Linked DNA regions of Lonchura striata. The protein of the gene in region 1 interacts with the protein of each later gene in a pairwise test. Links are inferred from orthologs where the notes say so. Each region holds a gene or a part of one and is shown in the gene's direction. Other genes may lie near its edges. The genes, in order: CDR2, C4H4orf46, TBC1D22B and KANSL1.

Region 1 (7,160 bases):
CTCTAAGACTCCAGTCTTTCAAAACCTTCTATATTTGTGCTTTCATCCTGCAAAGCTCAGATATGATTCTCACAGTTGGTTAATTCAAAACATGAGCTGGCCCATTACTTTCAGGAGACCATTTACAACGTGAGTTACTCACATGGATAATGACTTCCAGGATAAATGCAGTATTCAAGTACTTAAACTGTTCATAGGAAAGCACTAATGTCAAACTTATCTATGGACCTGATGTGCAAAATCAGTTTAGAAAATTACTTAAAGCTATGAAATGTAAAAATCTTTTCAGCAATTAACTCTGGAGATTTTTACTCTATGGACTGTAAATTATGTGCTTTATATATAAGTTCCATTGCTTATGGATTAACTAAAGTCAAAGATAATTTACTGTTAATTAATTGCAATTATTTCAAAATTAATCTGTCATTAAAAGAATCACTTTGTTGTAATAACACTGACGCACAGCACAACATGGTAATCAAAATATTCCATTGTACAGTACCTGTGCTACATGAAATGCCGTTTCTGAAATTTTGTATCGGTTTAGGAAAAGCTTAACGTAGTAGAAATTAAAAATGCTATTCATCATTCCAGCACCCAAGGTAGTCATAGAATATGCCAGTGCATTAGCATGAATTCCCCAAAGAATCTTCATCTTCCAAGAGTACAGCTCTCTTCTTCCTCAAGTTACAAAAGAGAATTACAACAATTAGTAGAATAATTTTCCAAATTAAAATAACATGGGGGATTTGCTCGTTTCAGAGGTGCTGAACTACTGGAGGAAAATGTTCCCATTCTTCCTTTTTTTTTACAATCAGAAACACATTTTACTGAGTTACAAGACACTGAGCCCAAAATAATAAGTTATTAGGTGACATTTCTAAGTATAATCAGTACTTAAAAGTCAATGGAACAAGTAGACAAAAATTTGAAAGAAACCCTTCCTAATTGATGTATTGACTCCACTTAAAAACCTACTTTTGCAAACACTCATTTTGGTGTAGAGTTCAAAGTAATTACTTACATTTTAGATCTTTCTTGCTAGCTATATATTCTTAAAATTATGGACTGTGTTGGAATGAAGTGACTCAACTCTTTATGTATTCCAATGCTATGAATGTCAAGTGCAGCATGCACGTAGGTATTTCTTTCAAAACAAATACTAAATTTTGCCCTTCTATTTTAAAATACTAATGGTTAAGAAGCCATGGAAGCAATATTTTCACCTAATAAACCATAAAACAATTAAACCAAAACACCTTTAAATTAACATTTCCATGGTATGGAAGAGTGCATGTAAATAAAACGTAGCAAGTAGCAAACACACCATTTTATGTATGCCCAAGTATCAGACATTTCTTTAATCTGCCATTCAGAGATTCAGCCAACAAATTTTTAAGATGCTGATCTTTTCCATCAATTAGCATGTTTGGTGTAAACAGTGCCATGAAAGGAGCCAGCTCCAGGGAATCTCTACCTTTTAAAGCTATTTAATAGCTACCTAAAAGTAGCCTTTGACCATACTTGATTCTATAAGCCCAATACAAAATTACTCCCAGGTATCTGTTTTTTAATTGAGGCTTTATTCATTTTTACATCTGTTGAAGGAAGCTGCCATTAATTTTGATACGTCAAGTTCAAATTTCAGCCTTACTATGCAAAGCTTTACAACCTGCTTTATGTCAATAGTTCACACTTTGCTCCTCTGCATATCAACAATTTTACGTAAATGCAATTTTCACATGTCCATCAAAACACCTACTTTGAATATCTGCTTGATCAGCAGCTCTATAAGCAGCTCCCTGAACTCCTCATAAAAATAACCATGGAAGAAACAGGAAATGAAAGCCAAGGCTCTTTCCAGCCTTCCTGAGGTTTACAAGGCGGCTGAAGAGAGGAAGGGAGGAACTTCCGAATCACCGGGCAAGGACCATGCCAAAGCCACAATCAGGTAGGGACTGGGAAGATGAACAGGCAGGTTTTCCATCCCCCCCACCACGGGAAATGAGCTCTTGAAGAGCAAATAAATTGTGGATGCACATTTGCATATATAAGATGCTGTGATATGAAACAAAGCTAAGAAAAAAGTCAAGCTGACAAACAACTAGAAGCCTAGCATTCCTTTTATTAAAGCAAATTTGTTTCTAAGAATATGACTGATTTTTAAAAATATTTAAGGATAACCATTATGTATATCTTCAAACTTATTTTTCTGCACCTGTAAAGACAATACATTTTCAGGGGAGAAAATTTTGCATTTTTGCAGCAAGTTTGGTTTCACAGTCTTTTACTGAGAAACCTAAAATGCAGGAAAAGGTTATTGAAAAGATGTAAAATTGAAATGTTTATTTTTAAAAATAAGTTTGATATTAATACGAAAATCATTACAATGAGTATGTTATTGGCAAGTGCCACATTTGCTTTTTCAAGCCTTCACAAATATACTTAACGGAATTATTTATATAGTGGATATTAGGGCTTTTGGAAAAGTAGACACTTCACTTCTATTTCTACCTGGAGCACCCTGCACAAGTCTTCAAAATGGAGAACTCGGAAACTTTACTTTCCTTCAAATTCCACAAGCACCAAGAATACAAGTGCTTCACACTAACTTTACCAGCATGAGTTCTAAATTGTTTTACTCGATTCCTTCTGACACAAATAAAAAAAAAAAATTGGTCCCCTCAGTTTCAGAAAATTTGAAAGATGTTTGGTATTTCTTCAATAAAAATTTTCTTACAATGCACAAACTGGTCCCTAGTACCATGACTAATTGTAATATGCAGGATCTGACACAACTCTACCCTAATTGGTACATCTGGTCAAGCACCTTGTTTATGAAACAGGTTCAATTAGAAGTTGAGGTACCACACTTCCTTCCCCAGATGTTCCCTTTAATAGCACTACAATGGAATCATGCATGAGCATCCCCTCCCTCTTCTTAATAGTCAGCCTTTATATTCAGCAGGTTAAAGCACTGGTGAACATTTCGTGACTCACAGAAGGCAAATGGGTTTCAGAAATTTCTAGTGGTTACAACCGTGTTAATACTCAAGAGGCCGAAAGAACAGGCTGTTAGGGCCAGTGAGATGCAGTGTCACATTACCTGCGATTCTCCCACAGCAGGATGACAACTGCTAAAAGAAATTAGAGCAAGAGTCTAAAGAAGAAAAGTGGATTCCGAGAGATAATAGCAAACGTTGCCTGAGGGGCACTAGCTGCCATCCTGCTCTGCCGTTCTGGGTCCCAAACCGCTGTGCAATGCTCACAGCCCTGACAGACTGGTTGGACGCACGATCTTCCTCATCCCTCTGACGCGACTGGCAGCACATTAGGACGGAAAGCAGAAGGAACGCGGTGCTAGTGCCGAGGGGCAGCGCTGAGGGGAGGCGCTCAGCGGCGCTCCCGGAGGCGGCCGGGCTGCCCCGCCGAGCCCGAGCTGCGGGCTGCACCCTTGGAAGGGCTCCTCTGTCAAAAACAGGGACGTTCGGCTCGTTTTTCAGCAGATCCCGGGAGAGGACACACGGCTCCCTCCGCTTTGTGCGGTAAAGAGGCGACAGCGAGCGGCGGCCGCTCGAGGGAGGTGCGGGGATGGAGCCAGCCCTCTTCGGACTGCAGGCTCCCCGGTCCGCCCTTCCCTCCCGCACTCCGGCCCGCACCTGGACGCCACGCCACGCTGCTCCTCACGGGCTCTGCCCTCAGCGCTCCCAACACGGGGCAACAGCGAGCCTCGGCTTTCCCTACGCCAAGTCGCACTGCCCCACCCCAGCCTGTGTCAGCTCTGCTCCGCCACAAGCCGCAGCCGACATCCCTCAGTAACAGCCCCCCACCATGCACGTCCCCGAGCGCCGGCGACCACCGCCCTTTCCAGAGGCACCGACCCACCTCTTCTGACGGGAGGCTGCGCACCGCGAGCCGGGGGGGCGCGGCTGCCCCGGGCCCACCCTCTCTTCGCTCTCATTGGTCGCTTGATATGGATTCGCGTTATGATTGGTGTAGCCTCCTTTCGGTCTGTGCGGCGCGCGGCTCCCCATTGGCTGCCCGCCGGCGGGGCGAGGCGAGGATGCCGTGTTTGAATCGCGGGAGGCGGGGGGCGGGCAGCGGCTGCCACGTTGCCGCCGGCGCAGCCCGGCCAGAAGGGGGAGAGGTTCGGCAAAGTCCGGAACCGCTCGGCAATGGCCGGAGGCGGCTGCTGAGGCGGGGAGCGGCTGCCGGCTCGCTCTGCCCCGCTCGGCGCAAGGGGCATCGTGGGGTGGGCGCTGCCGGCTCAGCCGCCCGTGAGGGAAAGGGGCGCGATGCTGGCCGACAGCCTGGTGGAGGAGTTCGAAATCCGAGAGGATGAGCCCTGGTACGACCAGCAGGACCTGCAGCAAGGTGAGCCGGGGCGGCGGCGGGGGGCGTGTGAGGGAGGGTGTGCGAGGGCAGGGGCCGCGTTGAGCGGGGCGGGTGAGGCGAGGAGCTGCGGGGCAGCGCCGGGCGCGGGCTGTGCGCGGGGGGCCGCGGCGGCACGGCGGCGGCACGGCGGGGCGCCGGGCGGGGCGGGGCCGGGCGGCGGCGGGCGCGTCGGTCGTGCCGGGCTCGGAGCGGCGGAGCTCGGGATCCCCGCACGGCCGCTTCCCGCCGCCGCGGGATCGCTGTCACCGGTAACGACTGCGGTCTTTGTCTGAGGGAAGGAGGTGCGGCAGCCCAGCGGAATGGTGCCGGGGTCCCTCTCCGCCCGGGGGGAGGGAAGCGGCTCCCCGGAAAGTTGCACCTTGCGCAGAACGTGAAGGTGCCTTGTTCAGGGCTGGTGCTGGAAGCGCCGGGGTCTGATGCGCTATTGCGCCCTGTTGAGCTCTTTGTCAGGGTTTCCACTCGATGAAGTTGTAGTCGTAGGAATGCTCGATTAGTCGCAGGTTCATTATTAGAAACTCTTTAGGCTGTCTTATTAAAATATCAAATAACTCCGCTACGCCTCAGAAAAACACAAGTATAGCTTCTGTATGTAATTCCATCAGTAGGTCTTAAAACACTACATGCAACACGTAAATGCTGTTCATTTCACAAATGAGTAAGGAGCCATAGGAATACAAGATTGCACTAAAAATCTTTTAACAGGCATGATACGGAAAGAATGTGCAATTTCCTTAAGAGCTTAGTGGCATTTATGACTGGTATTTACTTAAGTTACTTAGTTCTACTTTTTGTTCTTAATCCCGAGTTTGTTTTGAAAGGCGAGTGCAAAGCTGTGGCTTCCTGCAAACCTACTCCAGTTTTACACGTTTTGCTTTTATATTGAAATACATTAATTCTTGGGATTGGTGGGTGCTGCTGGACTGTAAACCATAGAGAAAGCTAAGCAGTATTCACACTGAGATCAGGTATCTGACCGCAGAAACTATTTTTGAGACGAGGCCAGGTCTCTCTAATTGTACGCTATAAAAAATAGCTAACTGAAAGCTGTATTTAGGTACTCCTCACCCAAAACTGAAGTTTTCCTGGCTCTAGGATACAAACAAATCAGTTAAAATAAGATCCTGAAACTACAGTTTGCTGTCAAAAGGGAGAGAGTGAAAAGTTTGAAGGCATAATTCAGTAATGTTTTTACTATGTCAGTGTTTATGGAGTTGAAGATGTGCAAAAACACTTTACAATGTATAACAACTGACTTCTTGTCGTTTCTCTGCTTTCATCTTTTAATTAAAATGAGTGGAATAATCACTCTGCTGTCGGCTTTTAAGAAACAGTATTCCATTCTAGAGGTTTAGTGCATTTTGGGGATTTGGTTGATGTACCCTCAACACATGGACACAATCTTTCTGGGGATTCTCTCTTTTTCCTAAATGGAAGCCATGAATAGCCTTGCCAAAAGCAAAAAGAGAAAAATAAAGTGATGAGCAAGTTGAAATGCAAAGAAGAAATTCCTTACAGGAACGTTTTTTAAATGTTGTGCTGTACTTTATTTCTGGGCTCTGAAGGATACTACTCCTGCTGCTAAGGCTAAGACACACGGATGTGTAAACAGGGTAGTAAGTGCTTATCAAGGTCTCGTGAAACTCTTCACAACCCAAACAATCAGTGCATGTTTAAAAACCGATGAGTATGGCTATGAGAACCTAGGTTGTAAAACATTAGAAAGCACCTTGAAACATGCTTGAAGTCCTTGTCAATTGGTCTTTGAAACTTAAAATGAGGGTAGGGGTTTTGGAGAACTCGACAGTCTTCCTACGCACCAAAGATTTTTGCCTAGACAATGGAGATGGGCTTTTCTGGCATACTGCTCATGCATAAAGTGCTCATGGAATTCTTGTGAGGATGGGAACAGACATCCTTCTGCGATGTTTGCTGAAGTATGCTGACCTTTAAAAAAGAATTTATATGGACTGCTCTTTTTGCATCTTGCTGTTACTCACTTTTATAGAACAGAGGGTATTCTGAATACAGAACAGGAAATAGGAAACTAAGTAGATTAAAAAAAATAATTTTACAATTAAGTAAACTTACACTAGGCTTACTTTTACATTTTGCACAATTAGTGCCTGTTGCTGTTTAAAAGACTAGGCTAATTTTAGACTGAAAATTCTCTTAATAATTTTGTTAGGTGGGTTATGAATAAGCAGAAGAGAAGGATTTTGGTATTGTTTTTATCTTTTTTTCAATGATGGTAATGCAGTCTGAAGAGATTGTGAAGCACTGCTGAGGGTTGTTCAACATCACAGAAGACATCTTTGAAGTCTTGTCTTGGAGATTTCTGATGGAGCTGTTAAACACCAGTACAACTAATCAGATTTACTAAAACAAAGATCTTTAGATTTGCATATATGCATTTTGCATTATTAAAAATCTCTCTGCTTCTGTCTTTATGGTGAAAAGGAAAAAGGCATGTCTGTCAGAATTTAGCTTTGCTTTGCATAAATTTACAACAGAAAATGCAATTCTGCTTCTAGTGTTCTACCATAACTCTCTCCAGAGAAATGTAAATTAATACTTCCCATTTTGTATCTGGAAAACATACATGGCACATCTCTCTTGTAAAATTTGCTCTTTGTAGGGCTTCCAGGTACATGACACTGTGGAAAATGGATGCAAAAAAAAAAAAAAATCTGAATTTTAGAAGAGATTAAATTATTTCAGTACTTGCTTTCTCTAGAGTTGAGGTTTTATTGTGTGTTCCTGAGTGC
Region 2 (7,392 bases), on another chromosome or scaffold:
TGCTCCATCCTTCTGAATGCCTACATCATTGGTTGCTATCCCTTTCACACTACCATCTTCATGAAAAAGTACCTTTGGAAATATTTAAACAAAGAAACACAAAACATTGTAATGAAACTGTATTTTGAATCTATATATTAAAAGTTCTAAAGCAAAACTTCTAAGCAGTATGACTTAAATGGTCAAACATTAAGATTATGTATTTATTCATGCACTGTATGATCCACCTGCACTTTGCTGGATCTGAGCCAGGGAATTTAGACAGAGAAACAGAGTTTTCACAATACATATCACTTAAAAGGAATGTTGCACATGTACAAATGATCATGACTGCACTGAAGGGGGTTCCTAAGCCACTTTTCATAAACACACACTGATGTCATTAGTACCTCAGCTGCTGCATAGCCTGGATATATCTCAACACCCAAAGCTTCTGCTTGTTCACCTAGCCAACTCACAAGGTGGCCCAGACGTACTATGTAATTTCCATGATTAACCATCGGAAGTCCTAGGCAAAAAAAGACACACACAGATATAACACATCGGACACTAAGCAAAATAACCAAAGCTGCATACAGTAGATGTCACATCTACAGCTACTACCTTCAAAATTAATCTCATGTGTTATCAGAGCCATCACCTACACAGAGTGTATCACTGTAACCTATTATACTCTACATACACTTGCTGCACTACACGGAATCAAACTTCTTTTGATTCATGGAGAAGTTCATGGATTCATGAAGTCTCCAAAAAGACACAGAGGAAGTTGACTCTCTTCTCCCTCAGTAAACTTTACCTGGAAGAATTGGCACTGGAATTCTAGATGTCTCTGTTAAAATTCCAAACTTGTCTTCAGTTACAGGAGTATTAAGTGGAGCCTACAACAAATAAAATAGAAGAAGCAGAGAGTTATATTTTCTTCGCCAATACAACACAAACAACAAAATCAAACAATCAAACTGGCAGTAGAGTACAGGTTTAGTATAGCACTTCTATGGGAAGGTATCACAAAAGAGCAAATAAAGTACTTTATAATGCAGTCATCAGGAAAGAATCAACACAACTACTGAAGTAAAAAAAAAAATACAGCTTTGCAAATAACATCTATTGTACACAGGCCTGTGCTACATCAATATTCTAGACCTTTTTAAATATGGCAGTTCAAGTTGCAGATTTATCACCATAAGGCAAACCAAAGAGCTGTTGGCTGACTTCTTGCATCTCTCAGGTGAAAGCAGGCAGCAGTCTGCAAGTCAGATGGCTGTTCTGGGACCTTCCTCCTACAATCATCTTAGGCCTTTGTTACAGGCTGTTCTGAGACTTCCCTCCTAAAATCATCTTAGGCCTTTGTTACACCACAGTATCTGCACAGAAGCCAGTCTACTCTGTGCCATTTCCAGGAAGAGCTATTGCACAGATCGAGCATATCTGTCACTGGTAAGGACCAGACATCCTGCTTGTACACAAGAGCTGGATTTTGCACAAAGGCAGCAAGTGCAGGGCACCCCAGGCTGCACCATTCAGATTGTGTATATGCAGTAGGACTGCTACAGAAAAGAGCAAAGGCCACAGCATGTCTGTGTAGACAGAAAACATTTAGCATTGTTGAACTACAGGAAACATACTAAAAAGAAGGTACCCATTTTTGTTTTGTTCCATCAATGTATTTTAAAACGGTATTAATTACTAATGCTACCAGGTACTAATTCGTGCCAGAATCAGTCAAATATGAAGTTCATTACAATCTAGTAATGAACTTTGGTGTTGACATGCTCATACATACCCCTCGCTCTTTCCAGTCTGGAAAGAGTTCTTCTAAGGACCTTGGCTCAATACAAGCACCAGACAATGTATGTGCACCAATCTGAGAAGCCTTTTCCACCAGACAAACACGCAGTTCTTTGCTGTGCTCAGCAGCCAGCTGTTTGAGTCGAATGGCTGCAGAAAGGCCAGCAGGGCCTGCTCCAACAACGACAACATCAGCTTCTTCTGCAAATCTTTCCATGTTTACCCCTTCAATAGAAAAAATTGATAATAACATAAGCCAATCTCTAATTTCTTCCAGCCTCTCTCTCACTGAACTTAAACCCTCATGGTAAGAGCAACTGAAAAAAACAGCAGATACATACTGACTAGTACTAGATCTTATGATAATCACTAAACCAAAAGCTGCTTGTATATTTTCTTTATGGAAACAAGCATAAAGTTTCTTCTGATAATATTTTATAGCACTAAAGACACTCATTGTGAGATTGCAAGCAAAATTGTCATTTGAAATATTAGTACTGTATTTAAGCATAGAGAATTTCCATGAAGAGAAAAAACCAGCAACATATTTTAGTGTCTTTAAGACTCAGCAATGATTAATAATAATAATAATAATAACAAAGCATTTAAAGAATGCAATGTTTTTACCTTCCCATCGTTTGTCTTTGTCCCGAGGATGAATTGTGTAATGTGTAGTTATGCGAGGCACAGAGGCGGTAGAGGCACATCGTGAGACACGCACCGATAGAAGGCAATCTTTCTTTATCAATTTTAAAGCATGAATGCACTGACGTGCTGCAAAAACCAGAAACAACTTTGTCAAATCAATAGTTTTCCAAATTTTTCAAAATTTCAGAGACACAAGTAGTGCAACAAATATAACAGCTTCCCCCCCTCCCAAAGGGCTACCAGGTGATGTAAAGATGAGGAACCATAAACACAGATTTTTAAATTCTCAGGTAAGGAGGATGATGTGTAATTTTTTTATCAGGGAAAAAAAAATAAGCTTCCTCTTTAAGCATTCTTTACTCAGTACACAGGCCAGCCATGCACAGCTGACATAGGATAATATGCATGTATACACAGGTGCCAAACATATTTTAAGTTCTGATTTAATTTTGAACTTCGAAAGGTTTATTTCAGGCTGCATTAAAAATGACCAAGCAACAGTAGAAACAGGACAGGCAAGTTTAGCTCTGACATCTCAACACATGATGCTTCTAAAGTACACACCATAGTCTGCAGTAAAAGCACAGACTTGAACCCAAGTATGCTTAGCCAAAGTTAGGAACAGTAGATACAGGTAGCCATTACCTTTGCTGCAAATACAATAATTGTTGTGAGAACAAATTAGAATTTCTGTGTAAGGAAATGGATGAAAAACAAAGTTTCAAATTATCAAACCAGGAATCTTTTCAGAGGGCTATTACATGTCATCATTTCCCTCTTCTAGAAACAAATAATATGCATGTGATTTGTAATAAAAAATGCTAGCATGAAAACTAGTTATAGTTAAAAGGTCTGTGAATTAATGTACGTTGACTAATAATTTTCCTTCCTTAAAAAATTCTCTATCTTCAGGGATAAAGAAGACTAGTACCACATTTAAAGTGGAGTATTTCTGCAAAACTACATAAGTGAAATCACCAGTGTGCTATGACTGAGATATTTAGTTGAGAATGGCAATTGGCAAGGTCAGCACAAGCATCTTGTGTCCTGGTGACAGAACAGAGGTCTCTAAATGCGAGGTAGCAATTATTATCCATGTTGGCTCCTTGACAAGAATTTTGTACCTTAACCAATATAACATAAAAACTATTATCATATCACCTCATAATTCTTAGTTATCCTTTACCTGCAACCAAGCAGGATCTGAGAACAAGCATTCTATAAGGTTGGTAACAGCTACACTCATATATATATTATGAAACTTTAACTTAACTTTCAGGATTTTTTTTATTTGACCATAACTGATGGTACTAAGAATCACACAGCATATATATATATAAAAAATCAATTAATTTGCACATATGCAAAAGAAGTGAAACTCTGCTCCGAACACCTCTGATAATAACAGAGGTGGGTGCAAACGCTGGACGGGCAGATTCTTCCCCAGCAAGCACACAGTGCCTGGGCCACGACGCTACTGAGAGCGCAGGGACTCGACAAGCGATGGGAAACGCCTACATGGCCAAGGAGAAACTTTGCGGCAGCTCTTCAGTAACAGCTGTCGGGATGCTGTCGCCACAACTACTTCCCAAGCAAGGACACTCGTGCCAGTGCTTTAGTTCACCCTCTAAAGCGGGTGACACCTCGCGCCGCTCAAAAATCCCGCCCATCTCTTTCGGCACGCCGCCGCAGGTGAGCGGCCCGTGTCGGCAGCCCAGAGCCGGGCCGCGGGCAGCGCTCCGCACGGCGCTGTCCCGCCGCCTCCGGGCGCACAGAGGCCCCGGGCAGGGGGAGCCGCGGGGCAGCCGCGGGCCCGCAGCCGGCCCCGGTCCGGCCCCGCGCCCGCCCGGACACCGGCGCGACCCGGCCGCGACCTTTGCTCTGCCTCGGCGCCGCGCCAGCCGCCGGCCCCACCCGCCGCACGAGCGGCCGTCCCAGCCCGGCCCTGCCCAGCCCGGGACGAGGCCCCGGGCCCTCCAGCCGGCCCCGGCGCGTTACCTCGGCCGGCGGACGGGCAGCGGCGGAGCAGCATCGCAGCGGCCCCGGGCACCTCTCGCTTCTGCGTCCGCCCCGCGCACACCCCGCCGGCCCCGGCCCTGCCGCGCCTGCGCGCCGGCCACGGCTCCGCCCCGTCCCGGCGGCAGGACTACAGCTCCCAGCGCCGCCCGCGGCCGCCGCCGCCCATCCGCGCTGCGGGCGGCGCTCGGCGGGAGCGGCCCGGGCGTGCCGTGGGCGGCGCTCGGCGGGAGCGCCGAGCGGGACATGGCCGAGGCGGGGCCGCTGCCGCCCGCGGCGGTGCCCGAGGGCTCGCCCGGCGCCCAGCCCCGCAGGGTGCGCGGCGGGAGCGAGGGGTCGCGGCCGCCGGAGCTGCCCGGCGGCGACACGCGGGAGCTGCTGGAGGAGGTGGAGCTGCAGATCGGCGATGTGAGTGCGGCGCGCTGCCCTCGGGCGGGCTCGGGCCCCTCGGGGGGGCTGCCGGGCGCCGGCGACCCCCAACCTCTCTGCCGTCCCTCCAGGCCGCCTTCTCGCTGGCGAAGATCCTGGAGGCGACGTCGGCCGTGTCGGCCCAGGTGGAGGAGCTGGCCACGAGGTGCTCGGAGAACGCCCGGTTCCTCAGGACGTGGCGGGACCTGCTGAGGGAGGGCTACGAGTCCCTGAAGCCCAGCGGCTGACGCGGCCCTGCCCGCCGAGCCGCCCGCCCGGCCCGCGCTGCGGCGGGGCTCCTCGCGGCCGCTGCCTTGGGGACCTCACGTGGAGTTTTGTGTTCCCCCCGACCTCTTTCACAAATACTTGGGGGCTCTCGTATGGACGTTTTATGTTAGTCTACCGAAGAAAAAAAAAACTTCGTTTAGGGAATCAGTTTTGACTTTTAGATTCTTCGTTGAAGCTCAAGCGATCTTATTCTCTCATTTTTATCTCTTTCGTGTTAGTGTGGTAGATACAAAGTATGTGTGTTACGTTCAGAACTCATTACTTGTAGGGAAGTGATAAAGGATTGTCAGCCTTCCTTTTTAAGAGCTGTCACCAGCAGAAACCCGGCCAACCCCAGAAAAACTTCAATCAACTTCAGTTTTTTGTTACACACACTTTTTCTTTATGTTGAGTATGGGATAATGCGGCAAGTTGTGGCTTATTTATGAGCTGTAGAAAAATTCTATATCCCAAACTTTACTATTTTTAGCAGTATTACAATGTATGTCAATAAAGCTGCAGATTCTTTTTTGCAAGATGTTTTATTACTGCAAACAATTTTACCCTACCTTTTGTTGTAATAAAGTGCCTTATCATGGACAATATATATCTGCAGGGTAGAAGTTTAGCAGCATTGTTTACTGATAGGATGAATTATTTTGATCTCTAAGTAAAAGCTTCTATTAGTTAGAATAGAATCTGTGACATGTATTCTCTCCTGTCGCTGGGGAAGCACTTCAGAGCTTTTTCAGTATTTGGTCCTGTTTTTTATCTTTGCCTTAAGTAGTGACTAGTTTGATAGTCTAGAGCTTAGAATTAATAGAACCTTTTGGTCTGAAAGATGGCTGAGCTGTAATAAATAGCTGTCCTGACACTCCTGTACCTTTACCAGGCACTGAAAAAAAGTAATGCTGAGATGCAATGGCAGGCTGCAGGAGAATGTGACTCTGCTATGACTTGTTTTTACTTACAGGACTTTGAGGAAGACCCACTGCAGCTTGCTTATCAAAACAATAAAGAAGTTGCAAAAATTATGAAGTATCTACTATTATTGTGTTACTGATAGAAACAAAGGTGACAGTGAATATAACCATAATCACGTGGAGTGAAAACCAGGTAATGGCAAGGTCGGGGATTGTTGTACATCTCACCAAAGGCAGTTGCAGTCCTTGAGAGGGATGGCCCCTGAGTAAGGAAGTTCTATTGAATTGAATTCTAATTGTCCTAGCTAAAGATAATCCATGTGGCAGGATTTTGCTTAGGTGTTTTTAACCCCTACAACCCGAAATGTTGCTAGACATCTTGGAAAAGAAGTAATTTTGTTCAGCAGATAATACTTTATTTCAATAGAACATACAGTAGTGGAAACAAGATGCTTAACAATCTTCAGTTTCAAATCCAAAGATAATCCAAAGTTCTGTAAACAGTTGAAGTGTGAGCCACACTTTTTCAAAATTCTACTTCTTATACTGCTAAGAAGTTAAGTGCAAACATTGTAAGTATCTTTTAACTTAATTTTAAATAGTTTCAAATCAACACAGAAAAAAGAGCTTTTTTTTACCTTTTTGGGCTTCTAGGCCATCAGACTGAATACGGTACTGAAAGAAGAAGGGAAGCTGTAATAATTCATAATAGAAAACATTCTCTTCAGTAAAAATGTGTGAAGGAACTGCCTCTAGGGGATTGTTTCAGATAGGATATTTTGTATTTTACCCTTGTAATTCTGGGAAGTAAAATAATGCTTCAAAAAGTGCTGAATGTCTGCGGTCTTTCAATTACTCTAACTATAATGCATCCAGTCATGCTCAAAGTGAGCCGTGACACCTATTAAGACTGATAATTTTCTATTTGACCATCTCCCTTGTTCATGGAGATACATCTTAAGACTGGAATTTGTTGAAGTCTGCAAGCTGTGGTGAGCAACTTTTGGTAGCCTGTTAAGAAAAGTGAGGAAAAGAGAAGCAGCAAAGTGCTGGTATACTCAGTCCAGTCTTTCCAGAGTAAGACGGGGGAAACTGCCACCAGTTAAAGCTGGGGGATACTCACTTAGGAAAAAAACCAACCAAACAAAACAAACCTCTAATTTTTGTTTATTTCTTCATCATAGTTCTGGTTCTGCCTGAATCAGAATCTTAAAGATCATCTAGTCCCAGCCTCTCCCTGCCATGGGCAGGGACACCTCCCAGTAGACCAGGCTGATCAAGGCTTGTCCAACCTGTATCAGAACTATCATTACAATTTCACTATTGCCTTTACATGAGT
Region 3 (7,015 bases), on another chromosome or scaffold:
TACGTCTGGCATCTCTGGGCTCTGAGACCAACAAAAAATACAGCAACATTTCCATCCTGCTCACTGAGCAGGTAGCTCCCTTCAGCTTGTTCTCCCCTGGGCTTTGTGGTTTGTTTGGGTATAATTATTGTATTTCAAACCAGCTTAAGTACTGGAATCAAACTTTAAAATGTATGGATCAACCCCTGTGTTGGCCAGAAGGCATCAAAGCACTGGTCAGCATGGGGGGGATGAGCTAGTCCTGTTGGGCCAGACTCAAACTTCAAAGTTCTAGATTATTTTTGTCTCTGGGTTCATGTGTGTTAGCCAAAACAATTGGAAAAAAATTATGTTATCAGTGCTAAATTCACTACTTCAGGAGTGACAGCAGGCTGCAAAAATGGCTCCAATTTCCCTTAGATAGGACTCAGCTGGGGGCTAGTGCTGGAATATCAACCCCTGGCCTGTGGTGTTTGTCACAGATAAACTTGTACCTGAAGATGGAGAAGAAGCCAAACAAGAAGGAGCAGCTCTCTCTGGTGAACAATGTGCTGAAACTGTCCACTAAGCTGCTGAAGGTGAGATGCTGTGCCTGAATGGTTGAATTTGATGGCAGCAGGGAATTATGGCAATGTCATGTGGCCTTCCCTTGGCTCCTGGAGTTAGTGCTCACAGAGGGATTTTTCAGTGCTGCTGCAGCTGGGACGAGAAAGGGAGCAGCACAAGGCCAGTGTGGGTAATTAGTGCTGAGAACTCGATGAGCAGTGGTTTAACTAAGTGAGAGGAGAGGCTGGGTGAGCACAGCTTCTCCTGACTGCTCAGTCTCATTTTTCTTCATCAGCTCTAATGCTGGAGCTCACTGCTAGCAGCAGGGAGAGGATTGGGAAGCAGTGAGCAGAGTCTGAGAGTCCATGGATTGGGCTGGGTGATTCTGCAGCCTGGAGTGTCAGGCTCTGGGGCAGTTGGGGTGCTGCAGAGATTTTGGATTCAGCAGGAGATGTCTCTGGAGCACTGACAATTCCTGTACTTGTATCTAAGAAAGGACACAGAGGCAGCCCAGTCTGTTGGAGTGCCAGTGCTCAGGTAAAAGTCAGAGGATTAATTCTTTGGTGTTTGGGAGTGCTAATGGACCCTTGTCCTGTCACTGCAGGAGCTGGATAGTCCATTCAGGCTGTATGGACTGACCATGAACCCACTGATCTACAACATCACACGGGTTGTCATCCTCTCTGCTGTCTCAGGAGTGATCAGTGACCTGCTGGGGTTCAATATCAGAGTAAGTGTCCCTGTGCCAGCCAGTAGAACATCTCTGGGGTCACTTCTGGGGCCACAGCCCTGAGAGAAGCCTGGGTTTGCACTGGGAACCCAAACACCAGAACCTGCTGGGTGTGTCCCCACCTCCCTGAGCCAGTTCTGGGGGGAAGGACAGGGCTCACTTCAGTTTCAGTTCCCTTCAGGTGAAGCTGTGAGAATCCAGGGTTCCTCCCTTTATCCCAGTCCTCCTGTGGCTCGTCCTGAAACTGGAACTCACTGAGCAGAGCAAGATGGGCAGGAGACACAGAATGTTGCTTGGAGATGAAGACCATTCCTGTTAGACCCAAACTCCCTTTCTTATCTCTTTGCAGTTATGGAAAATTAAACCATGAGCTGGCAGAACATCAGCCCTGGGCATCTCCACCAGACACCAGAGAAGAGAACCAGCAGTGTGGGCAGAAAGAAGAAAACTGACAGAAATCTGTAATTCCAATTTTTAAACAGATTCTCAGTGTATGCATCAGAAGTTTTCTTTCTGCTTTACTGCTCTACAACATCCAGAGTGAACTGGTCTCATCAGTGATGTCATTCCATGGCATGCACAGAAAAACTGGATTAATGGGGCCAAATCCTGGCAGCTGGCACTGAACCAGCAGGAACTGCTGTGGGACACCAAACACTAAAGCCATACCAGAGCTGCAGCTGGGGGGACACCAGTGGCTGTGGCTGGGGCCAGGTTTCTGTAAAATCTGGTCCCTGGGCATGTGGCAAGGAGGGACTGAGCCCTCCTGGCCCAGTCAGCCTTCCTGGGGCTGCACTGGAATATTCCAGGTTGAGAATCCTTTGCTGCACTGAGCTGGCTGTGCTGAAGAGCTTTTCTTTCCCTAAAGCTCTGTGTGCTCAAGGCTCTGCCTCCATCCTGAAGCAGCCCAGGATGCACCAGGTGAATTCCCCTGAATTCCCCTTCCCTGCTGCCAATCCCAAATCCTGCTGGTGGCTTGTGCTGCAAAGAAATGATCAGTGTTTTTGGAGGAGAGCGGTTACAGGAGAAAAAACTCCCAACACACAACAGGCAAGGTTCACGAGCTGGAGGATGTTTTGCCACATCTGTTCCCTGGAATGCTCAGCTCCATCCTGTCCTGGCTGGGACAGCAGCTCTGCTCCGTGCTCAGCTGTTGCAGCCCAGCACTGCAATAGAGCCTCACCCTGAACACCTGGGGAGGAAATCTGGGGGAAAAACCAGTTTTGGCAAAGACTTCCTCAGGTTCACGCTTAGAAAGGTCGTGGAGAACAAGAGAACATTTGAAGGCTTCTGCAACATTTCACTGGCTCCAATAGCTCCTATTTATTAGTAGTGAAAAGAGCAAAAACGGAGGAAATTCTCATTCCTTCACGGGAGGGTGAAATGGCAGAAGAATTTTTGGTAGTAAATTGTTTACAGCTATTTTCTGTACAAGGAAAAATTGTGAGATGTAAAAGGAGGTGACATTTTTATATAGCAAAATGTGCAAATAAACCTGCAGGACAAGCACTTCATCGTTACCAACGGTTTCTACAGCAATTGATGATTTTTATACCATCTTTTTGAACATCTGTTACTGGAATGGGGGGGTCAATATCCAATAATAAATTACATTTATTTTCCAGAACGGCAACATGTTTGTGGGTAAAATCTGGCTCACACCCCTGAAAGCCAACCAAGACCGTGGTTTAGACAGTGCAGAACCAACAGGCCGTGAACTGGAGTTGGGTTTTAAGATCTGTGTAAAAATAATGAGTGATTTGCAGGTGTCTGCAGTCAGAACCTCAGGAGTGTGTGTGCAGGAGATAAATGTTCACACCCAGCACATCCAGCCATTGTGTAGCATTCCAAGGCCATGTGCATGCAGGAAGCGCAGAGGAAGGTCTTGGGAAGGGAAATCCCACACAGGTAGGGCTTGTTTGGGTTTTGACTCGTACAATGTACACATACTCTTATTTTCTATATGTGTATGGTTTTCCTTTTCATTTATTTTTGCTTTTTTTGCAGTTCTTTGTGCTGCAGGTGTTTGGTATTTACTATGGGGTGGCAGTAGGAAAAGATTTTGTCCCTTAATTTGCATATACAATAGACTATTTGCATAATTACTCATTAATAATTATTCTTCAGTGCTCCATATGGGAGTAAGTGGGGTGGAGAATAATAGTAATAATATGAGAGGTGTTACTCCAATCTGGAGCACTATTTATGGGCTTTTTGCACTATAAATAAAAAGAAGACAAATAATAGCGTCTGGTGCAGAAAATGCCATTAATTAAAAATTAAGTTTTTAATTTATTTAATTCTAAAAGTCTGAACAGAAACTGCTCCAGGTGTCAGACCGAAGCAGGCACCTCACCGGACCTAAAACCCCACACGACAGGCGAGCGGGATCCAGGGCGGGAATGGAACCGCGCCGCGAATTCCCTGGAAAAGCAGAAAATCCCAAAAACCCCGAAAATGTCATTCAGCCCCCCCCGGCAGGAGCCGGGTGGTGCCGCCCGCGTCCCCCCCGCGCCCCCCATGGTCTCTCCCACCCTACCGGCGCAGCAAGCCCCGCCCCCTCCCGCGCGTCGCGGCTGTGCCCGCCTGCGATTGGTGGATCCGCGACGCCTCGCGCGCAGCGGCCAATGGCGGCGCCGGGCCCGGCCGGAGCCAAGATGGCGGCGGCGCGGGCTGCGGGCGGGCGGGCCTGAGGCGGCTGCGGGGGCCGCGCCTTGCTCCGCGCCCGGGGCCGGCCGGCCGGGGGTCTCCGCTCCCCGCCCGCCGGCCCGCCGGGCCCGCCCCGCCCTCCGCCATGGCGGCCGAGAGCGGCAGGCAGTTCTGGAAGCGCAGCGCCAAGCTGCCGGGCAGGTGAGCCCCGGGAAGGGGTGTGAGGGCCGCGCCCCCCCTGCGCTCCGGCCGGGGAAGGCGCTGTCACCCGGCCTGGTTCGGGGGCTGAGGGGAAAGGTCGGGGGTGCCAGAAGGATCTGGCCCGGCTGCGGGGCTGAGGAGCTGGTTGGGGGTTCCTCCCTGGAATTGGGGGGATGCCAGGGCCACCCCAGGTGTGGGAAGGTGATTTTGCTGCGGGAAGGTTCAATGTACAGGGGACAGGGGCAGGGGCAGAGCTGCTCCCCCATCTGTGGGACAGGGCAGGCGGTGTGGGGCTGCGGGGACGCCCTGTGTGCCCCCTGTGGGAAGCAGGATGGAGGGAGCAGGATGCCTTGGAGGCCTCTTTGGGGCAGGTCAGAGCCAGGGCTGTACCCTCCTCCTTCCCACAGCAACTGAAGGAAACTCGTCCTTCCCAAAGTCCTCAGGGGTGTCGCCTTGGGTGGCAGCAGCTGTGTCCCAAAGGGGTGTCCCTGGTAACCCTAACATTACCCTGAGCTCTGTGGGATGGCGCTCCTGGTCCCCCTCTGCTCAAGGGGAAGGACTTGGAGGGCTCTGGTTATACCTCCCCTGCCTCGGTTCCTCTGGCTGTGATGTTCCTCTCAGGGATGGGAGAAACAAGCGAAATGAGTGATTGACATGGTGCTTGGGAAGAAGAGGCTGGTGCTGATGGAGAGGCTCCCTACAGCGCCTCGGGAGCAAGGCTGATGTGGAAAGAGGGCATCAGCCTCTCTGTGGAGGCTTCTCAAGTGCTTTTCCTGCCTGGTGCTCCTCACTTTTGCTCTCATTTGCCTTATCTGAACCCTGCCCTTCGCCTCCTGGGGTATGGGTGCAGTCTGAAATGCTTAGTAAGTTTTAAATCCTGCTGGCCCAGTTGAATATCTCTTTCTGAAGTGCTTTCACTCATCTGCTTGTCATGTGCAGCTCCTTCAGGTTGGCTGAACATGTCTGTGGTAAGCAGAGGGAGAGCAAGGGGCTCTGTTCCTCCTCTGCTGCCCCTGTGGGAGGAGAATCCTGTGCTTTCCCTGGGTTATTTCCCAGCTGTTCCTGCCTCTTACCCGAAGCTGTCAGCCATGCTCTCAGCTGGTGGTCGTGGACAGCACCTTCTCCTCTTCTCCTTTTGGTGACTTCTGAGCTTTCCTTGGAAACTCAAACCAGGTGAACCGGTCTGGCCGGCAGCCGGGCCTGCCTGAGACGCTGCACGGGGAAGGTTTTGGCAGTGCTCTCTCCTCCTCCTGCCTGCCTGCTTGGCAGGTCTCCTGCATCCTTGTTCCCTCCTGTGTGCTGGCTCTTTCCAGGGACAGCCACCAACAGGTCCTCAGCAGCCTGATTCCGAGGGTGAGGTGGGATGTCCTTCACCCATGGTCACTAAACATCAACCTCCCTTTCTTCTTTTTTGTCTGAGCTTTGAGAGACCCTCCTGTACAGATTCTTGGCTCTCTCCTTTCTTTCCCCTGACAATCTGGCAGAGGGAGGCTTTGTAGGGACTTGGATACTGTGTTAGCTTCCTTTTCCATGACACTTTGTGTGTTTGGTCACTTAGTTGTATTAGCTTTTATTTGCTGATAAAGTTTATTTGCTTTTGCTCCCTGTAGATTTAGGGTGGATTTTAGGTGTAAGTTTAGAACTGGTAAATGCTGTTTTGTTTTTACAGCGCTGTCTTGTGGCTTTTTTGCACTGGGAATTTTCTGCCTGGTAATTTTCTAGGGATGTGTTGGCCGAGTGCTCTGGCGTATTGTGATGTGTTGTTTATTCCCTGCTCTTTAGAGAGATGGGCAGGCAAGGTCTGCTGGGGTTATTTAAATGCTGTTTTAAAAGGGGAGAAACAGCCTGCTGGAAGTAAATGTGTGTGTGTCCAGTGGCAGTGGTGTTTCAGGCTGTGCTCTGCTGCAGTGTCAATAGCCCACACCCTGTGATGATCCTGGGAGGTGTCACACAGGGAGCACAGCCTTTGTACCTCACACCATTGGTCACCCCTTGTACCCTACACTGAGCATCCAGGGAGCAGGAAATGCCTGTCCCAAAGGGTTTAAACTGGGACAGAACAGGGCACTCGTCCAGTCAGGCTGGGAGCACAGCTTAGATCAGCTTGAGATTCTTCTTGGAGAGTGTCTGGCTTGTAAGGCTTCAAGAAGAGCTGTGTGCAGGTGGCACCCTCTGCCATTGTGTCAAACATTGATTCAGAACCCCAGGAAAGGGTTTCCTCCCCCAGCACTGGCTGCCCATCCCCTCCTCTCTCTAACACACATCCTTCATGGGTCTTGTGAAGCCCAGGCCTTCCCAGGCTGGTCAAGCAGTTCCCCTCTGGCAGCCTGTGGGTCCCTGACAGGGAGGAGGAACCTTGCTGGACATCCTGGGACAGTGTGAGTTTGGTTCTGGGCATGGGAGAGAGAGGCTCTGCTGGCTGCTGTGCTGCAGGGAGCTGCCACACGTCCCTGGGAAGCAATGCTGCTCTGGAGGGCTTGTTCTCACTCCTCATCATCTCTTTGCTATGTCCACGTGGAGGTGCCTCTGCTTAATTGCAGTCCTGACTTCCAGGTGCTCATTAGTCATCACATTCTGTCCTAGGCTTAATCCTCGATGGATAAACTCTGTGAGGACTTCCAGCCACGAGGGACAACCACTGCAGTGGTGAGCCCACCCCTGGCTGGGCTGCTCCACCAGGATCTCTCTGTGCTGTGGTTGTTTCCAGCCTCTTCCCTGGCTCTCTGCATCTCTCCCCTGCCAGCTGGACCTGTTGCTTTTGCATCCTCAGCTTGTTCCCAGCTGCACCAGGCTGCCATCCCTCTCTTCTGTGGCTGGGCTCTGCTGATTTTACTGCTGGGCACCATCTGCAGCTCCTAGAAACCAGGCCAGCTCTATTGACCCAAGAGAAGCTTGTTCCTTGTGTGCCAG
Region 4 (7,086 bases), on another chromosome or scaffold:
TGAGGCATTAAAAGAGGTTAAACGTGCCCTGCACTTTGGATCAGCTGGGTCTGGAGGGCTGATGGGTTGTTGATGGTGGAGCGGGGATCTCACCGGGGATCTCCCGGCGCTGGGGCAGCCCCGGGTGCTGCCCCTCCTGAGCCTTCCTGGGACCCGGAGCCTTCCCTGGGACCCGGAGCCTTCGTGGGGCCCGGAGCCTTCCTGGGGCCCGGAGCCTTCGTGGGGCCGGGCTCGGCTCTGCGCCCCGGCCTCTCCTGCTCTGCTGCTCCAGGGCCCCACATCCCTCACCAGAGGAGTCCGACAGCACCTCCAGCTAGGGTCTGCGGGCAGCACTTGTGGAATAATTACCCTGTTAATTGGCTTCCTTTCTCTTCCCAGCATATTTTCTAAACAAAAAGCAGGAGGAAGCAGGTGCTATTTACTTTTCCATAATGAATGTTGTTCATGTGGGGACCAGAGACCCAGGAATTGTGGGGCCCTTTTTCCTTTTTATTTCTTCCCTGAAAACTGCTTACTGCAGTTCAACCCCTTGGAAAAAGCTCTTAATTGAGCTGGGATGTTCAAAGGATGTTTTGTGCTATTTGGAAGATCTAATACGTAAAAACATTCCTGGCTTTGTATGTTCATCCTACCTTAAAGGCATTTTCTTTTTTTCCCAAGAATCCAGGGTTGCATTTAGCCCTCGCTGCTTTTACATTCTAAGGAAAGACACAAAATTAGTATTGAAGGACTAAAATTTGGCTCTTTGAGGAGGTACAGAGAGGAAGAGGCTGAGCATGGAGGCACTGGCAGGCAGGTGAGCAAGTGTTCACTGAAGAGAATTAATGAACTGTCACTTTCTTACAACAAAACTGGAGGAATGCAAAGCGTGGGTGTGGTGTTACTATTTGCATTGAAACAATGTAATTTGTCCTTGATTTTTTTTTTTTTTTTTTTTTTTTTTGCTTTTCTTGATTTTTTTTTAATTTCAAAAATTGTACAGTCCTAGGGGGAAAAAATTCTTTTCTGTTAATATATTTGCAATTCATGAAAGGATGTGGAAAATCCAAATAAATTACTTTTAAAAGCAGGCTTAGCCCCAGGTGCTTTGGGTCAGGGGTGGGATTTGTCCTTCAGAAGCTGGGCGAGCCACAGAGGTTGGGAAAGGTTTAAGGGCACCTTGGGGTGCACAGGGCTCTTTTCTGTCCTGTGCTACCTGAGCCTCCACGTGTCACCTGTAAATCTCCCACAGCCTTCCACGTGGGCTGCAGGGTCCTGGCTGGAATTTTGGGTGAGGTGGGGGGTGTGATGTGGGTGTGAAATGGGTGTAGGGACCTGGAGCTGCTGCAGCAGGTCCAGAGGAGCCCCGGGGCTGCTCCGGGGCTGGAGCCCCTCTGGAGCCAGGCTGGGAGAGCTGGGGGGGCTCTCCTGGAGAGGAGAAGCTCCAGGGAGAGCTCAGAGCCCCTGCAGGGCCTGAAGGGGCTCCAGGAGAGCTGGAGAGGGACTGGGGACAAGGATGGAGGGACAGGACACAGGGAATGGCTCCTGCCATGTGTCCATCTGCTGCCCGAGGGCAGGAATGAACGGGATACTGGGGAGAAATCCTTCCTGGTGAGGCCCTGGCACAGGCTGCCCAGAGAAGTTGCTGCTCATCCTCACTTTCCATCCTGCAGCAAGAGATGCAAAAAGCTCTTGGGTATGGAGCAGGTTAGTGTTATTTTCTTTTTTTCCTGCCTTCTGTAGCAAGTCCCCACCCTGTGGCTGCAGCTGTTGTTGCTCAGCAGAGAAATTAATTATCACAGTCTCTTACTGTTCCAGACCTGGAGGAAAAGCAGAAATTCCTCCTGCTGCATGTAGGCATCTTGGATTGAACCTTTTATTGCTCATTTTGCCCAACCTAATCCAGTCATTTCTGAGAGCTGAGTTTGGTGTACAGTGCTCAGTACAAGCAGCACTGAGATGAACCCGTTCCAGCTGCTCCCCCGTTTTCTCCCATGTCCTGATGGTCCTGGCCATTTGTTCCTGTCTGGGGTCACTGAGTGCCCACCCCACAACAAGAGCCGAGCTGTTCTGTGCCCCACTGCAGCCTCTGGTGTGGGCTGGGGCTGGCTGATGCAGCTGGGCTCTGTGTGGTGGCACCAGGAGCTGTTTAGGAGCACCTACATCTCACTGAGGTTTGCACTCGTTCTCTTGGTCACTAACTGTTGCTGCAACATCTTATTTTCTGTCCCTCTGCCCAAGTCTGTGACTTTGTTTGAGTGAGAGCTGATCCACGAGCACAAACTGCTTTTTATTTCTAGTGGAGCAGAACTGTTTTTTTCTAAGGCAGGGATCCCAGTGCTTTTAGACTTTGTCACCTGAGAATAAGGTCATAGTCTGGATTTTCCTGGATAACCAGGAAAAACAACCAGGTTGTTTCATGTTCCCTGAGGAAGGGAGAGCAAGGACAGTGACTGCAGCTGCTCTGTGTGGATCAGGATCCAAACACACTTTGAGAGTGTGTTTGGAGCATCTCAAACTTCCTTCCAGTCCTGAATGGGGCTTAGAAAAAAAGAGGGAGAGTAACCTTGTACACAGGTAGATAGAACAAGAAGGGGAACCACTTCAACCTGGGAGAGAATTAGATTAGATATTAGGAGGAAATTCTTTACTCAGAGTTTGGCAAGGCCCTGGCACAGGTGCCCAGAGCAGCCCCTGGATCCCTGGAATGTCCCAGGCCAGGCTGGATGGGTTTGGAGCAGCCTGGGCCAGTGGAAGGTGTCCCTGCCATGGCAGGGTGGCGCTGGATGGGCTCCGAGGTCCCTTCCCAGCCAAACCATTCCAGGATTCCATGATCCTCTCCCAGCCCTGCTGTCCCAAGAGTGAGCAGTGAAGGAGCTCACCTGCATTTTGGCCTGTGGGACATGGATCAAGTCTTTTATTGGAGTTATACCTGGCCCGTGACTGGATAAAAACTAAAAGACGAATTGAAAAGGCAAGAGTGGCAGCAGCTGGAGGGCTGTGCCCACAGCAGCGCTCAGGAGCAGCCATTGGGGAGTTTTCTGTGTCTAGAGGAGATGGCAGTGCGACGGCCCCGGGGTCACCGGGGACCGGGGGGCGTCCCGTGCCTCGGGGACAGGGCGAGCGGTGCCACGGCCCCGCTGCCCCGTGGGACAGGGACACGGGCCCGGTGCCACCCGCGGCCAGGGCCCGGCGGGACCGCAGCCCTCGCCACCCGTGCCGGGGCTCGCCGTCCCGGCGGGGCCTCCCGGGCCCCCGGCCGGTCCCTCCCCGCTGCGGGACCCGCGCCCCCCGGCTCCCGCCCCGGTGCCACCCGCGGGACACCGGCTCCCCGTGTCCCCCCGCCCGGTGCTCCCGCGGCCTGGCCGGACCCGCGGCCGCCCCGGGCGGGGTGGCGCGCCCGGGTCCGCCCGTGGGGGCCGGGCCCGGGGCCGGTGGCCCGGGGGGCGCGGGCGGGGGGGGCGCGGGGCAGGGGCCGAGCGGCGGCACCGCATCAATCACCGCCCGCCCCGCCCCCCGCGCTGATTGACGCGGCCGCAGCCAATGGGGCGCGCCCATGCCCCGCGCGCAGCCAATGGGCGCGGGGGAGGGCGGAAGGTGCCCGCTTGAAGGCGGCGGAGCGGCGCAGGTAGGAGCGGGCGGGGGGCGCGCGGCGGCCGCGGGCCGGGGGCGCGCACGGCCCGGGGGTCGCGGCCCCGGCCCCGCCCCGGCCCCGCCCCGGCCCCGCCGTCCCGCGACTTGGCTGCGGGGGCCGGGCCGCGGCGGGGCCGGGAGGGGCGGGCGGCTGCTCCCGCCCGGGAGCCGGGGGTCGCGGGCAGGGTCGCGGCGGGCCCGGGGCGCCGGGAGCGCTCCGCCCCGCCGCGCTGCCCCGCGGGACCGGGCCCGGTCGGCTCCGAGCGGAGCGGGGTCCCCCCGCCCGCCCCGCGCCTCCATTTTAGCCCGGGGAAGCGAGGCCGGGCCCGGGGGGCTTCTGGAAGGATCGGGGGTGGCGGCGGCCCCGGGCCCGCGCCCCGAGCGCTGCCGGGCCCGGCCCGAGCCCGCGGCGGGATGGAGCTGACGGCGGGAGGGGGCGGCGGGCCCCTTGTGACAGCCCTCTCTGTCCCCAGCTCCCGCACTTCCCCACCTCCTCGAGTAAATCGGTAAGAAACTTGCATCCCGCCGGCGGCGGCTGGAAGGATCCGGAGGCCGTCCCGGGCTGCCCACCTGGAGCGCAGGTGTGAGCGAGGATGGGCCTGGCCAGGATGCCCAGCAAGGTACGTCCCGCCTGCCCCGCTCCCCGGCTGCCCGGGGCTCCGCTCCCGGCGCCGGCCCGCTCGGTGTGCCCAGCTGCCCTGCCGGGTGCTGCCTGGGCTCCTGACCCTGCAGGGTGACGCTGGAGCCCTGCACGTAGTTTCTTGGCTGATGCACAACTTTAAAATGGAGGTTTGGTATGATGGCTGGAAGTGTGGATTCATCCTGTGCGTGCACAGGGTGCTTCTCTCTCCAAAGCCATTCCAGTGCCTGTAGTGAAGAGATGTGGAGGCTCCTCTCAGGAGCATGTGTGTGTATTTTCAGGTGTTACCTGTCCTTGTGTGCCGCAGCATCGAGACATCAAGGCATGACTTGCCCAGAAAAAGAAAGATCTCCTGCTTTTTTTTCCCCTCTCTTTATTGTTTTCATCCTTAAACCCCAGGTTTACACTCTAAGGTCCTTTATACTTCCTGATTTGATCTGGTTTATGTATGTATTTATAGTATCAAAAGAGTTTTGTGTACACCTGTCAGAGGGGCTTTGTCCTGTGGAAACCAAAGGTCTAAAGCTGGAGTTTCCTGCTCACATTTCTGTTTCTCTGGTTTCCCGGTGTGTGAAGCAGCCGTGGTGCTCCTGGGTCCAGAGTGGAGCCTGGCGAGGCTTTGCTGGTGCTTCTTCAGAAAATTGGCCTCTTGCCTTGCCGATGTTATTGCACATTACAAATGTGTCCTAAACACTCAGGTACAGGAATTGAGCTCTGTGCAGCTGAATAAAACCTGAAGAGAAGTGCTAAAGGGAAGGATATTTCCCTCTTTTCATAAATCTACAAGTCAAAGCAGCCTGACTTTAGGCCAATTATTGAGGCTGAATTTAGACAAATTCTCTTGTAATGGGAAAACCAAAAATCTTATTTCAATCCGTTCACACTGACCCTACCCAAATCTGCTGTGGTATCTGATCTTCAGTCGGCCAACACAGCAGCAAAGCTCTTGCTCTTTGTACACGGAATAACACTGAGTTGTTTTATGGGCTTTAAAAGTGGAATTAAATCTCCCTGTTGTGGGTTTTGGCAGGAAGGGCCCCGGGAGGGTGCCCTGGATCCTCTGTGCCTCCCGTGAGCTGGCAGGAGCTGGGAGAAGGAGCAGTGCCTGCGTGTGCTGCTGGGGCACTCGGCGTGTCCGGCCACCACATCCCTCGGCAGCTCTGCTGCTGAGGGGTGTTTGCTTCTGGAGGGCAGATCTTGCTGGACCTTGATTTTTGGAGTGTGTTGAGCGTGTCACAAGTTGAATTGCTTTACTGCTCTGCTAGGATCTGTCTGAGGGCCTTTCTCACTGTGACCCCCACTTGTGCTCAAGCTCCTGGCACCTGGCATTGCCACAGTCTGCAGTGTTTTACTGTCACAGTTTGCAGTGTTCTATTGCCACAGTTTGCAGTGCTTTACTGTCACAGGAGAGACCAGCTCCGTTCCAGCCCTTGAGTTCTGTGAAGCCTCCTCAGAGGGGCAGGAGGTCTGTGGGAGCAGAGGAGCAGGAAGCCCTGCCTGCTCCTTCCCAGGGGATGTGCTGCTCCAGCTCTGCCTGTGCCCTGCTCACACAACGGGGACTCGCTGCCTTCTCCGCCCCATTGCCATTCCCCTGTGGTTGCCTGGGCTCCGATTCTCCCATGCTGGACTTGTGATAGGAAGTATTGGTATTAAGAGCAGGTAGAGTCTTGTTGTTGTGTTTTTTAGTGGCCATCCATTTTTCCCACATTCAGGATGTTTCCCAAACAGAAATAGCATGGGTTTAGGCTCAAAAGTCATAAATAATAACACTTAAGAGTTATTTTATGTACTGATATGCATATAGTTACTGTATAGAGACTATTAAATTTCTGAGGCAGGTCCAATCAGAGGAAGTGAGGAGGATTAATAGGTGGAAAGATGAGGTAACAATTAGGTGTGCATAGCTGGGTACACAGCCCTCACCAGATATTGTGTTTTGGGTGTTCTGGATGCTTGGCAGAACAGGACAGTTCGAAGGATGTAAAAATGGGGCTTCACTGGGGAGAGCTGCTCTTGTTCATGGGGGCATCTCCAGATCAGGAACATCCTGTGTGAGGGACAGGTAGGTGGCTGGCCCTGGAGTGGCCAGGTGACCAGTTGTAGCACAGTTTTGAGTGGGAAACAGACTGGCAGGACCATAGAAGGTACATGTGTAATTTTACACTGCACAGCAATTTCTGCTACTCATCTCCAGGTCAGGCTGGACGATGGAAGCTGCAGCTGTGTCTGTGCTGCAGGAAGATCCAGACCTGTACTGGAATGTCAAGCTGGAATCTGGGCTCTTGGTCTGTGCCTCAGCAGAAAGTCCTGCACTGCACAGTGAACAAAAGATCAGAAGCTTTATTGCACAGGAATTTCTTTTAACTTCCTCCACAACAGATTGTCCTCACTCTTCTGTTCCAGTATAAAACCACATTTGTTGCTACTTCTGCTTTTTAGCTGAGCCCTAATTCAAGGTAGATTAAAAAAACCAATAACACCAGAGGTTCGCACGCCATCGTAGGGTCCTGTGTCCCTAAAATTCTCTCTAAGCGGGGCGAGGAGATCAGGACAGAGTGTGCAGCTGCTGAGTTCCTCATGCTGTTGTCTTTCAGAAAAGGTATTTTTGTTACCCTTAAGAATAGCTAGTGTTCACTGTGTGACCCCGCTGGGTGCTGGACGTGGGGTGCTGATAACACACTGCCCGGCTGTCCTCCTTGCCACTGTTCCATCACTGACTTAAACCCACGTTCAAGGTCTCAACACCCATTTTCTTAAGGTACTGCATGAGAGTGCTGAGCCTGGGGAGTGACCAGCACTGAGGAGACAGCTGGGACTGCAAGGGACAGCCCAGG

The links.
Region 2: the proteins of CDR2 (region 1) and C4H4orf46 interact in binary tests that used the Homo sapiens proteins (3 or more experiments, as listed by UniProt). The two-hybrid records come from large-scale screens. The link is inferred for Lonchura striata from reciprocal best matches to the Homo sapiens genes CDR2 and C4orf46.
Region 3: the proteins of CDR2 (region 1) and TBC1D22B interact in binary tests that used the Homo sapiens proteins (3 or more experiments, as listed by UniProt). The link is inferred for Lonchura striata from reciprocal best matches to the Homo sapiens genes CDR2 and TBC1D22B.
Region 4: the proteins of CDR2 (region 1) and KANSL1 interact in binary tests that used the Homo sapiens proteins (3 or more experiments, as listed by UniProt). The two-hybrid records come from large-scale screens. The link is inferred for Lonchura striata from reciprocal best matches to the Homo sapiens genes CDR2 and KANSL1.

What each region holds. Positions count from the first base shown.
Region 1 is NC_134618.1:10,739,964-10,747,123, reverse strand, and holds the start of CDR2 (cerebellar degeneration-related protein 2), read left to right. Parts: upstream 1-4,149; 5' UTR 4,150-4,295; coding exon 4,296-4,374; intron 4,375-7,160. Other genes in the region: transmembrane protein 180-like, read right to left, coding at 503-655.
Region 2 is NC_134606.1:40,736,379-40,743,770, forward strand, and holds C4H4orf46 (renal cancer differentiation gene 1 protein), read left to right. Parts: upstream 1-4,695; 5' UTR 4,696-4,701; coding exon 4,702-4,863; intron 4,864-4,955; coding exon 4,956-5,111; 3' UTR 5,112-6,884; downstream 6,885-7,392. Other genes in the region: ETFDH (electron transfer flavoprotein-ubiquinone oxidoreductase, mitochondrial), read right to left, coding at 1-72, 390-508, 800-881, 1,787-2,016, 2,419-2,565, 4,438-4,471.
Region 3 is NC_134632.1:4,739,992-4,747,006, reverse strand, and holds the start of TBC1D22B (TBC1 domain family member 22B), read left to right. Parts: upstream 1-4,010; 5' UTR 4,011-4,049; coding exon 4,050-4,105; intron 4,106-7,015. Other genes in the region: protein PHTF1, read left to right, coding at 1-71, 462-557, 1,130-1,255, 1,605-1,625. UniProt on the Homo sapiens protein: May act as a GTPase-activating protein for Rab family protein(s).
Region 4 is NC_134627.1:8,850,477-8,857,562, reverse strand, and holds the start of KANSL1 (KAT8 regulatory NSL complex subunit 1), read left to right. Parts: upstream 1-4,074; 5' UTR 4,075-4,232; intron 4,233-7,086. UniProt on the Homo sapiens protein: Non-catalytic component of the NSL histone acetyltransferase complex, a multiprotein complex that mediates histone H4 acetylation at 'Lys-5'- and 'Lys-8' (H4K5ac and H4K8ac) at transcription start sites and promotes transcription initiation.